Linked DNA regions of Macaca fascicularis. The main gene of each other region encodes a partner of the protein of the gene in region 3 in a complex. Links are inferred from orthologs where the notes say so. Each region holds a gene or a part of one and is shown on either strand. Other genes may lie near its edges.

Region 1 (3,829 bases), on a different chromosome or scaffold from region 3:
ATTGTAGGATGTGGAGCATACCTGGCCTCTGCCCCACTAGCACCCTTCTTCCGACTGGTGACAACTAAATAGGTCTCCAAATGTCCCCTGGGGGGCAAAATCACCACCGGTTGAGAACCACTGCTCTAGGTAGGAAAGGAAAGAACTCAATCCAAAAAGAAAGAATCTAGGTTCATAGAAAGAAAAACAGATTGCTTCTTAGTAAACTAACCATACATAACCTCCCATTAAGCATATTGTCTTTACAGAAATTTATCAAATATCTAGTAGGCATTATAAAACCTAGCATACTTATGTAATGAACCTATACTGTGGGAGTCCTAGAGATGAGTATTGTAACTTAATCCTGGCATTTAAAGGCCTTTTCTGAAATAATTGGATTTTTGGCCTAGAGTTTAGTGCTATTCTGCTAGCTTTGTTAGGAACTGTGTATGTTTAACATTGTCACTAACTTTCCCTCTTTATTTGGAAAATCAAAAGGAGGTATCTGTTTTTAAGGCTGGGTAATGAATAGCTCAGATACAACTCTGGATGTTGCTGAAGAAACAGCCTTTTTTTTTTTTTTTTTTTTTTAATTATACTTTAAGTTCTAGGGTACATGTGCACAATGTGCAGGTTTGTTACGTATGTATACATGTGCCATGTTGGTGTGCTGCACCTATTAACTCATCATTTACATTAGGTATATCTCCTACTGCTATCCCTCCCTCCTCCCCCCACCCCACGACAGGCCCCGGTGTATGATGTTCCCCACCCTGTGTCCAAGTGTTCTCATTGTTCAGTTCCCACCTATGAGTGAGAACATGCTGTGTTTGGTTTTTTTTTCCTTGCGATAGTTTGCTGAGAATGATGGTTTCCAGCTTCATCCATGTCCCTACAAAAGATGTGAACTCATCCTTTTTTATGGAGAAACAGCTTTTTAACTGATGAATTGCTTATATCCAGTTACTTCTGACTGTTTCTGGTGTGATCAATGAATCTGTTTAAAAGACTCACACCTTTAACCAAAAGAGGGAAAAATTCTTTATTCCTCTCTTCCTACTCTTTATTTCTTTTTTTTTTTTGCCTTTTTGGTTTTTGTGGTTTCCATTATCTTACAAAAATATATTTAAGGACTTGCTGTGTGGATTCCTCTTAACCACCATATAAACTACTCTTTTTTCCTGTGCCCAAATGAATTCCCAGATTTTACTCAAATACCGTTTAGAGAGTTTTGAGGAAAACACATGTATTTCATAGAGCTGGGTGAACAAGAGTGAGTGATACTGTTATGCAAGGAGAGTTACTGAAATTACTAAAGATAATTTGGAGAACTAAAGTTTGTGTGCTAATTTTCAGTGTGAAAAAACAGTTGATGAGAAGAAAAGTAAATTCTGTGAAGCTGATGTCTCCAGTGACCTTCGAAAAGAAATAGAAAATCATTATAAGCTTTCTTTACCTGAAGATTTCTATCACTTCTGGAAGTTCTGTGAAGAACTTGATCCTGAAAAGCCATCTGGTGAGTTGCTCCAGAATCATTCTTGTATTCATGGAAAAGGTAATGTAATAGGAAACGAGCTGGGTGTGGTAGCTCACACTCTGTAATCCCAGCTGAGGGAGGGGGATCGCCTGAGGCCAGGAGTTTGAGACCAACCTGGTCAACATAGTGAGACCTCTTCTCTAGAAAAAATTAAAAAAAAAAAAAAAAAAGCTATGCATGGTTGCATGTGCCTATAGTCTCAGCTACTTGGGAGACTGAGATGGAAGGATCCCTCCTTAAGCCCAGTAGTTCGAGGTTGCAGTGAGCTCTGATCACTCCAGCCTCAGTGACAGAGCAAGACTCCGTCTCTAAAACATACAATAATTGCCCAGGCATGGTGGCTTATGCCTGTAACCCCAGCACTTTGGGAGGCCGAAGCAGGGAGATCACTTGAGGTCAGGAATTTGAGAGCATCCTGGGCAACACAGTGAAACCCTGTCTCTACTGAAAATACAAAACTTAGGTGGACATGGTGGCGCACACCTGTAGTCCCAGCTACTTGGGAGGGTGAGGCATGATCATTGCTTGAACCTGGGAGGTAGAGGCTTCAATGAGCCAAGATTGCGCCACTGCACTCCAACCTGGGTGACAGAGCGCAAGACCTTGTCTCAAAAAAAAAAAAAAAAAAACCTAACCAAGGATATAAACTGTTCATAGAAAAGGAATATTTTCCAAGATATTTCTGGTAAGAGAAAATATAGAAAGAAATATAGATTAATGCTGTAGTAATGCCACTGTCACCTATTTTTTTGGCAAAGGTAAATTCATTACATTCTGGGGGAATGTGAAGGAAAGCAAGCTCTTTCTTATGTTGCAGGAGTTATAACAGTTCTGCTTCCAAGCACTTCTCTTATGGATTACATAAACTAAGAATTTTGTGTGAGGATGTTTACTTACACAAAAAATGGGAAATGGCTTAAATGCCTACCAATACCACATCTCTTCAGTAGATCATTCATTGCTTTTAAGCATGAAGCAGATTTTTAGGAAACAATAAACTATCATGCATGAAATAAGTGGAAAAGAAGAGTGTATAGAATATGCTACCATTAGTATATTTTTTAAAACGGGAGGGTGGGGAGAGGGAGTACACACATATCCCTGTGTACTTTTCTGTGTGCTTATTTTGTCTCTGAAGGGATAAAGAAACTGTTAATGGGCTGTGATCATTACTTCGCACAATACTATTTAAATTTTTTAACTAGTAAGCACTGTCATACACCATTGATGGAAATGTATATTGATACATATGCTGAATTTTGCCAGTAGATCAAAACAGAACTGTGTAGTTGTTTCTTTAAAAATAGTCATACCTGTATACAAACATTTATTAGCAAAGATGTTCACTGAAACATTTTAGAACAAAAAAAAGAAATAGTAAATATCCCTCAGTAAGAGAATAGATGGTTACCTCTTTATAATGCAGTATCATGCCCTATTAAAAAATCACGTAAAATAACATTGAATAGCATGGAAAAATATTCAGAAAATTTAAATGGGACAGGATGGAGGACAAAAGCAGATTACAAAACAACCCTCAGTTTGTTCCAGATTTGTATCTGTTCATGGGGGTGGCGAGTGTGGAAATTTGTTACTGTATAATAGACTATTAACTGTTATCTTTGGCTAATGAGATGGACAGTTTTAGTTTTCTTAATGCTTTAAAAATTAGTGTATGCTCTCCTAAGCTCTAGTTCAGCTGAACTATTTTTCCTGTCAAATTATCTCCATGCTTCTATTCATGTTATTACCTCTCCCAGGAATTTTTTTGCTTTCTTCATCCTTGCCTCCTTATAAAACTGGGTCCTGCCTGGAGTGCTCCCCTCCGTCTTAGAAGCAAGGACCCATTTGAGGTTATGCATTGTACATTTGCACAGACTTCATGTTTTTGTGGTTTGTGAACACTCCCTGTCTGTGATCTGTGAATAGAAAAGGAAGACGGAATCATCCAGGGTTAGGGTTGGCCAAATAGATTGTCAAAGAGTCAGGGGAATCTGGTGTGATTACCTAAGGTAGAGGAAAGGGGATAGAAATGTTTTTTTACTTATTTATTTATTTATTTTTTGAGACAGAGTCTCACCCTGTCACCCAGGCTGGAGTGCAATGGCGCTATCTCATTTCACTGCAACCTCCACCTCCAGGGTTCAAGTGACTCTTGTACCTCAGCCTCCCCAGTAGCTGGGATTACAGGCGTGAGCCACCACACCCGGCTAATTTTTGTATTTTTAGTAGAGATGGGTTTTGCCATGTTGGCCAGGCTTGTCTCGAACTCCTGACCTCAGGTGATCAGCCCACCTCAGCCTTCCAAAG
Region 2 (3,829 bases), about 12 Mb from region 3:
AAAGGTCAGAAAGATGAGTAACTGACCTTTGGTAACCATCTCTCGTTAAACATCCTTAGACCCCATTTCCTATCATATCCATATGGACAAGGGTGGGGAAAATACTCCAGGCATAATCTGGTTCGTTGTGTGCCCTGTGCTCACCCCAGACCAGGAGCATAGCCACAGCTCTGAAATTCTGAGCTGTTTTCATGACAGGTTTACATAGAAATATATGACATGAAAAGCCTGACCCCAAATAATTAGAGCTTCCTAGGGAAGCAGATTGGTCTGAGCAGCTTTGAGATTTTCCCCTGTCCATTGTGACATAAAGAGTGTACTCTGTTCCCCTGTCCTGTGCAATATTCTGCTGTTTCTTGGCTCCTTTCTTGCCTGTGCATAGGCAGACAAAGAATTGGATGGAGCAGCCACGTGGCTGTGCAAAGAAGAGAAAGAGTGGAAAAGTAGAAATAGAGGCAAGAGAGAGGGGAAGAGAGTTAAAAAAAAAAAAAAAGTGAAGAAGGAGGAAAGAAAGAGGCGCCCTTGATGGAAACAGATGATAGTCATCAATGGCTTTCTCCAGAGGTGGTGCCAACTCTGACTATTCAGAGTCAGAATAGTCAGACTATCGGCCTGGTGGGCACAGGCCTGGTGGGCAGGCCTTTGCAAACTTACCCTCAAAGACTAAGGAAGCTGAGAGACAGAAGAAAGAAGCTGACAAATCCAGTTTATTAGAAACACTTACTAGGACTTATGAACTGAAGCCATGTTTATGTCTTGGGCATCTATGTCTATGTCTTTAGGCTTAGAAGGCCTAAATCCAGGCTGTGGAGGTCTTGCTCCTCAGTGTTGTCAGAGAAGTTGGTGGCAGGGCCTCTGGACTAAATCTTTTAAAGCTGAAATTTCATCTGGGCAGGCATAGTAGCTCATACCTGTAATCTTAGCACTTTGGGAGGCTAAGGCAGCAGGATTGTTTGAATCCAGGAGTTGGAGACCAGCCTTGGCAACAAAGTGAGACCCATAAATTTTAAAAATTAAAAAAATTTCCCAGGCGTGGTGGTATACACCTGTGGTCCCAGCTATTCTGGAGGCTGAGGCAGGAGAATTGCTTGAACCCGGAACTTCAAGGCTGCAGTGAGCTGTGATTGTGCCACCGTACTCCAACCTGAGCAACAAAGTAAATGAGATGGAAAAAACAAAACTGAAATTTCATCTACCTCTTCCATATACCTACCAGCCCTCCTCTACCCTTAAAATTTTTCTATTTTTTAATCTAAGCCAAATGTGATGGAAAGGATTAGCATGTATCTGTCCCCAGACCAGGTTAGGATCCTGGGCTGTGTAAACAGAAGTAGAACATTTCCAAACTCTGAGGTCATCTTTCCACTATGTTCAGCTTAGGTCAGGTGCTTGCTGAAATGCTGCCTCGCCAGCTGAGAGTATCCAAAGCCATTCATGGGTTGCCTGTAAAGTGAGACCAAAGCATCAGAATTCTTTCCCTGCAGGAGGTTAACTTTCGGATCCTTAATAACAGTTATCTTTAAATTTATGCAGAGTATTTGGGCTGAATGAGTCAGAGGGAATAGGATGACTGGGTGAGGCATCAGAGCTAGTAAGTCATCAGATGGGATCTCTGCGCATCTTGGGAGGATGGGGTGGCCAAGCCAGTGTTTTATTATTTTCTTCCCCTGAATTATTGATGATATGTATAGTGATATTTTAAGAATTCAGAAGAGGCTGGTAGACTTTCCTGAATGAAAAGCTTTCCCAAGAGAGATGACTTATAAATCTTATGAAAATGCATTCCGTGAATGGAAGATTTCTGCTCTAAAAAAGAACTATTGAGATATTTCGGCACCAGGAGGGTAGTCTGAATGCAAAGATGAGTTTATACAAGCTTCATTCAACTTTTATTATAATTACTACTACTACTAATAGTGTATTAAATGAAAGTTACCTGCCCATCTTTTCATCTCTATAGGACTTGATGATTAAAAAAACAGACCATTTGTATTCTAGTAGCTTGCAAAGGATTAGGGGAGACAGGCTACCAAACTACCAAGGGGAGGCTTAACATGTTAACTAGGGAGGTGAGCGTGCCCTGCTAGACCACCTGTATCCCCAAATTGAATAGCCAGATTACAAAGACACGGCCTTGGGCCAGCTCCTGAGCTCTGCCTTTGAACTCTTGTCAACACCAAGTTTATTCATGTTCTCAAAGCCTAGCGGGTTTACTATTGTTAGCTCCTCTTGGGGTGTCTAGAACAAAGCCAGCAACACGTTTAAAGTGAATCTGGGCTCACAGATACAACCAAAAGTGTTCTTTTTGAAACACAGAATTTGAGATCATTTTAGCCTATGCTTAAAGAAAGTGTAAAATGGATGGGGGGTTTGATTTTGTTCCTTTTTAGAAGGCGAAATAATAAATAGGATGGTTTGTCTGTAGACCCAGTCCTTTTAAGTAAAGACCCTAAAAAGTTGTTGTCCGGCCCTGTTCTTTCCCATAACAGGCATTTCTGAGCCTACTGTGTGCATAGTATTATCAGGGTGTTAGGTACGCAGTAGACATTTTAAAAAGCACTTTAGAAGAGTCTTTGGATTTGGTTGTTGGAGAGCCCTGGTGGTGGAGTCCTTGGGTGCCCGTTTTACTTCCTTAAGAATTGTTACTTTTTCTTTATGTTGATGTAAAAGTGAAAGTGCCACTTTCTACACTGGTTGTTAAAAAATCTGTATGATGTCTTCCCCAATTGCTAGAAAATCCACCCAGAGAGAACACCTTCGGAAAAATTGTTAGCCGTGAAGGAGTTTGAATCACGTAAGTCTTTCTGTGACCAGCCATGCAGTTCTCTCAGCCACAGGTTTCACATGGGTTCGGCAGGATTGAAGCGAGGACGGCCTAGCCTGTGCTCAGAGGAGTAGTGATTTCTTTCATTACTAGTTTTTATTTTGACTTTTGTGCTGTTTTGAAAAGCACTTTTAGCTTTTTCCTTCTGAGTTGACAGGATTGTTAGGAAATAATTAAAGGAGGTAGGAGCTCCCAAGAGGAATTATTGCACCCTGAGTTACCTCCTGCTGGCCCTCTTGGCATGCTGAATATTTTTGGATCTTTGCTGAATTGCAGTCCTGTAAATAGCTGATGTTTTTACTGAAAGCCATGAAATCAGGGGTTGTCCAGTTGTTTGACTGTGGCCCAGATTCCTGGGCCAATTGGGAGGCCCTTGACTAGGCTGAAGCTGTTTATGAGTCATGGCTACTCATCCCTGACCTTGTCACTAACAGTCAGTTGAAATCTCATGTCCTGAGTGACTTCTAGTCATCAGAGGGAGAGGAAGAAGAAATGGCTTGCTTTCTTTCCCTAGGGTTTGTCAGTTAAACCAAGTGATGGGGAAGAATGTTCTCTGGGGGTTCAACATGTTAGTTTTGGGGTTTTTTTTCGCCCTTTCCTTTCTCTATATCATTTACAGCAACAATAGGATGTAGCTAGAAATCCTGTGTTTTCTACCAGGTGAGAATAATGGATTATTTATCCACAGATCTGGATAAGTTAGACAATGAGAAGAAGGATTTGATTCAGAGTGACATTGCTGCTCTCCATCACTTTTACTCCAAGCATCTCGAATTCCCCGACAATGATAGCCTCGTAGTACTCTTTGCACAGGTAAGGATGCCGACAGCAGGTAACACTCAGTCTGGCCTTTCCCTCTCCAGGCACCTCTCCCCAGCACGCACTCAGTGAAGATGAATGCAAATAGAACGATGACATCTTCCTGACAACGAAGCTCTGAGCCAATTGGACCCTGTGTTGCCATAGCCTTGCTTGGTGACCTTGAGCAGATCAAGGTCCTCTCTG
Region 3 (4,534 bases):
CAGCCTCCCAAGTAGCTGGGACTACAGGCGCCCGCCACCTCGCCCGGCTAGTTTTTTGTATTTTTTAGTAGAGACGGGGTTTCACCGTGTTAACCAGGATGGTCTCGATCTCCCGACCTCGTGATCCGCCCGTCTCGGCCTCCCAAAGTGCTGGGATTACAGGCTTGAGCCACCGCGCCCGGCAACATACTTATCTCTTAAGCTACTAGCTTCTTCTCTATGGTTAACACTTTTTATGAGTTTTATTCATCCACTTATTTTTCTTATCCTCTACACCAGAATTGAATATTTTCAAATGCAGCACACTCATGTTACAATCTTTGAAATGAAAAAAAAAAAAAAGCATAGGATTAGAAAAGAAACCAATTTTAATCAACTGTATTTTAAAGTATAGTTCCATATTAAACAACATGATCTAGGCCAGCTGCAGTGGCTCATCCCTGTAATCCCAGCACTTTGGGAGGCCAAGGTAGGAGGATTGCTTGAGGCCAGGGGTTCAAGACCAGCCTGGGCAACATGGAGAGATGCCCCATCTCTTTCTTTATACACACACACAGAGAGAGAGAGAGAGAGAGAAAATATCTGGTAGCAACAGGTCTAGTCATTACCACAATTTTGAGTAGTGATGAGCTTAATAATATTTTGAGTTATCACCAAAATAACTGTAAAGTAACATGAAAACATCTGTGATGACTATTGCCCACAAAGTCACAGGTACTTCTAATACTCCTGGGATTTGTAGTCAAATTCATAATAAAGGAAATGCTAGGTTTCAGTTGGTATTTTGTCCCGACGGTGTATGGATGGCAGGTTGGAATGCCCGTCCAAGCCAGGGGGGTTGACCTAACACTGCAGGGTCCACCTAGGGCCGATCAACTATATTCCCTAGGGGGGCCTGCTATTCCCGGACCCAGCTGCCCTCAGGGGAGAGAGGACACACTTATAAAAAGAGTTTGGGGCTGGCTTGGTAGTTCACTCCTGTGACCCCAGCACTTTAGAAGGCTGAGGCTCGAAGATCACTTATAGCCAGGAGTTTGAGACCAGTCTAGCCAACTTGGCGAGACTCTATCCCTAAAAAAACAATTTTTTTTTTTTATTAGCCAGTTGTGGTGGTGCACGCCTGTAGTCCCAGCTACTTGGGAGGCTGAGGTGGGAGGATCGCTGGGCTCAGGAGTTCCAGACTGCAGTGAGCCATGATCGCGCCGCTGCACTCCAGCGCAGTGAGACTCAGTCTCAAAAATAAAAGGTGGAGGGGTTGGGGGTATAATTAGTTATGAAAACAGGTAAGACTTCCTGGGACAGAACGATCAAAGGGGTGGCGCCGGGTCCTCCAAAGAGCTACTAGCTCAGTCCAAGCCCCGCCTCGGCCCACAGGGTAGCGGGCCGTAGAGCTCCACCCGCAGGAGCCCGGGAAACTCCGCCCCCCGGCCGGCAGGGGGCGCGAGCGCCGCAGGCCCCGCCCCGTGGACGTGGGCTCCGTGGGCGTTTCCGCTGCCAGGCATCAGCAATCTATCGGGGAACCGCGGTGGCCGGTGCGGTGTGCTCGGTGGCGGCTCTGGACGCTCAGGCGCCTGCGGCTGGGTGAGCGCACGCGGGGCGGCTAGGCGGCGAGGCGGCGGCGTGTTTCCAGGTCGTGGCGTCGGGCTCCCGGAGCTTTGGCTGCAGCTAGGGGAGATGGCGGAGTCTTCGGATAAGCTCTACCGAGTCGAGTACGCCAAGAGCGGGCGCGCCTCTTGCAAGAAATGCAGCGAGAGCATCCCCAAGGACTCGCTCCGGATGGCCATCATGGTGCAGGTGCGGGCCGCTGTGCGGGCGGCGGGGCGGGTACGCGGCGCCCCGGGTTAACTGTGTCCGGGAAGGCTCGGGGAGTGCGGGCCCGGGGAGCGAGCGGACCTGGGCTCTCGGAACGGCACTTAGGGCCTGTGGGGCCGTGGCCGCCTCTCCTCCGCCGAGCGGCCCGGCCGACCCTTCCGGAAGGTTTTGCTGATGTTGCAGGAAAAGCCCGGGAAATACAGTCTGCAGCTGGTGCTGCCTTTCGCTTTGTGTAAACGAGAAGCCGCTTCTCTCCTCCTTTCTTGGTGGTGGTGTTTTATTATTGCCGTTCGCCTCAGGGATTGGGGGTGGGGGGGAATTGTACATGGTCTCTTTAAGCTAATCTGATTTTGACCTATCTTGTTCTGGAAGATTTTTGTCCTACGTGGATGGTGGCGACTGGCATGTGGGGATTTTTTTTTTTTAACCTATTTTTGGCCGTCATTTCAACACGTCATTTTAACGCTCACCCTCATTTTTCATTTTAATTAGGCAAAACTATGCAGAGAGGTGTCATTTCTGTACAGTGCATTCACTTTGAGCCTAATCTGTGCTTTAAAATAACATTTTCCCCAAATTTTCCAGGTTCACAGACGCGTTCTCGGTGCACTTGCAGCTGTCTGGTTTGAGTAAGAGTGGCTCCAGGGGGGTTTCTCATGTGGGCTTTTTGATAGATTGAGGATCGATCCCCTTTTGAGATTTCCTGAGGCTTCTGTGAGGTGGTGGGCTTGAAGGCCCCTGTCATTTCCCAGGGGCTCCTGCCTCCAGCTTCCAGTTTGCTGATGTCTGCCTTTGTATGAATAATTCTGGTTCTCACCTGCCCTGTTCCTCCTCGCTTCCAACACATTACCCAAGCTTAGTGCTCATGGTCAAGGTAGCTTGATTTTCCTCCCTACCATGAGCTGTAATGTGTTTTAGGAATGACCAGATAGCCCTCAGTGGATTTTCAGGACTTAAAGAGTACAAGGGAGGGCGACATTTACCGAGTGGATACCCAAGTGCCAGGTGTACTTCCGTTATCTTATTTCACAATATGTCTGTCATCTCGGTGTCCTTGGGGCATACCTAAGTCAGTACGTGGCACACAGTGCTTATTTGGTAGATATTTGTTAAGTTCTAAGCACTCTGTTAGGTTTTAAGGACACAGAATCCACCTTTGGGAATTTCCAGTTTGGTTAAACGGGAATTGACTGGTAAACAAACATTGCCGTACAGAGGGGATGGATGCCACCTGATGGAACTGTGCTCCAGGCATTGTGTGCCTAGGAGTCCAAGATGACCCACCTTAGGGTGGAAGGTTGATTAGGAGTCGTTAATTCACAGAAGTGGAGCAGAAAGATGAGGATAGGGAAGTAGACAGGGCCTACAATTTGAAGAGCCGTGTTTCCCACTAAGGAACCTAGAACTTACCTTAAATATATAAGGCAGCCTGTTCTAATGAAGTTCTCACTCCTGGTGCAGGAGCTCTTAACCCCAGGGTCCGTAGGATGGTAGATAGAATGCAAGAGGTCCATGGGTTTAGATAAGAAAAAATTGATATCTCCATCTCCACTAACCTATAGATAAAATTCATTATTTCCTCTAATCATAAATGTAAGCAGCAAAGCAAAGGCATATTAGCAGTCCCTATGATTTTTTTCACCAGCGGTAATTACAGATATTTTCACTTTACAGTTGGGAGTTTCTCAAAATATAATTTACTCTCATTGCTATAAAAATCACAGTTGTTAGAGGCAGTACTAGATCTTGTTATTTAAAACTTTGAAGCTCACGGGTTACTGTACGCAAATTACCTTTCAAATGTTTTGATAATTATTTGAGTATGTTTCCTTTTTGAACTTTTTTGTTTTGTTTTTTGAGATGGGGTCTCACTATGTTGCCCAGGCTGGTCTCAAACTCCTCAGCTCAAGTGATCCACCCACCTTAGCCCTGTAAAGTGCTAGGATTACAGGCGTGAGCCACCATGACTGACCATTTGCGAGCCTTTTTATTATGCATTTTTAAATGTTATTCCGAGAAAGGGACATCCACGGGCCGTAACAGGTGGGCAGAGTACCGTGTTCTAGTGGAAAGACAGAAAACCCAAGTTCAGGCAGTGTGTTGAGGCTAGAACAACACCGCTGTGGAGGAAGTTAGAGGAGGCTTAGTTAGCTGTTGGGGAGGCAGGATGGAGGAAGCTGAACCTGATCAAGTTTAACATTCTGGGGCCAGGCTCGGTGGCACACGCTTGTAATCTCAGCGCTTTGGGATGCTTGGGTGGGCAGATCACTTAAGCTCAGCGGTTCAAGACCAACCTGGCCAACATGCTGAAACCTCATCTCTACAAAAAAAATGCAGTGATTAGCGGGGCGTGGTGGTTCATGCCTTTATGTCCCAGCTACTCTGGAGGCTGAAGCTGGAAGATTGCTTGAGCCTGGGAGGTGGAGGTTGCAGCGAACCGAGATAATGCCACTGTACTCCAGCCTGGGCGACAGACCCAGACCCTGTCTGAAAAAAAATAAATAGTAATAACAACATTCTGGGCTTTCCTTTGGCATACTTGATAGTGAAAGAAACTCTTTATTATTAAAAGTAACTGATTTTTCTGTAATTGTGATTGAGGGTGGATTCAGAGTTTTAATTCAGAATTTAAAGTTGGTCTGGTAGGCTGAGCTGGTGAAGACCAAAAGGAAAGAAGCCTTTTCACTTGCTTGAATTTAAATACCTTCTTTTGCATTTATAT

The links. The genes of interacting proteins can lie anywhere in the genome.
Region 1: the proteins of PARP1 (region 3) and HPF1 are in contact, whole or in part, in a crystal structure (PDB 6M3I), measured with the Homo sapiens proteins. The link is inferred for Macaca fascicularis from reciprocal best matches to the Homo sapiens genes PARP1 and HPF1. Residues at the interface, in NP_001609.2 of Homo sapiens: Thr825, His826, Asn827, Ala828, Arg865, Met890, Lys903, Asn906, Tyr907, His909, Ser911, Gln912, Gly913, His934, Lys953, Ser983, Leu984, Leu985, Tyr986, Glu988, Thr1011, Ser1012, Leu1013, Trp1014; in NP_060337.2 of Homo sapiens: Asn234, Val236, Asp261, Arg264, Leu265, Phe268, Gln272, Glu273, Thr276, Phe277, Gln279, Phe280, Asn282, Asp283, Glu284, Cys285, Tyr287, Tyr304, Lys307, Val308, Gln311, Leu315, Leu319.
Region 2: the proteins of PARP1 (region 3) and SMYD2 are in contact, whole or in part, in a crystal structure (PDB 9CKC), measured with the Homo sapiens proteins. The link is inferred for Macaca fascicularis from reciprocal best matches to the Homo sapiens genes PARP1 and SMYD2. Residues at the interface, in NP_001609.2 of Homo sapiens: Thr526, Leu527, Lys528, Gly529, Gly530, Ala531; in NP_064582.2 of Homo sapiens: Thr105, Leu108, Val179, Asn180, Cys181, Asn182, Gly183, Phe184, Thr185, Glu187, Leu191, Ser196, Ala203, Met205, Tyr240, Ile241, Asp242, Ser257, Tyr258, Asn380.

The regions. Positions count from the first base shown.
Region 1 is NC_088379.1:174,548,866-174,552,694, reverse strand, and holds part of HPF1 (histone PARylation factor 1), read left to right. Parts: intron 1-1,338; coding exon 1,339-1,498; intron 1,499-3,829. UniProt on the Homo sapiens protein: Cofactor for serine ADP-ribosylation that confers serine specificity on PARP1 and PARP2 and plays a key role in DNA damage response.
Region 2 is NC_088375.1:72,100,978-72,104,806, forward strand, and holds part of SMYD2 (N-lysine methyltransferase SMYD2), read left to right. Parts: intron 1-2,733; coding exon 2,734-2,794; intron 2,795-3,512; coding exon 3,513-3,637; intron 3,638-3,829. UniProt on the Homo sapiens protein: Protein-lysine N-methyltransferase that methylates both histones and non-histone proteins, including p53/TP53 and RB1. Specifically trimethylates histone H3 'Lys-4' (H3K4me3) in vivo. The activity requires interaction with HSP90alpha.
Region 3 is NC_088375.1:84,321,716-84,326,249, reverse strand, and holds the start of PARP1 (poly [ADP-ribose] polymerase 1), read left to right. Parts: upstream 1-1,506; 5' UTR 1,507-1,674; coding exon 1,675-1,794; intron 1,795-4,534. UniProt on the Homo sapiens protein: Poly-ADP-ribosyltransferase that mediates poly-ADP-ribosylation of proteins and plays a key role in DNA repair.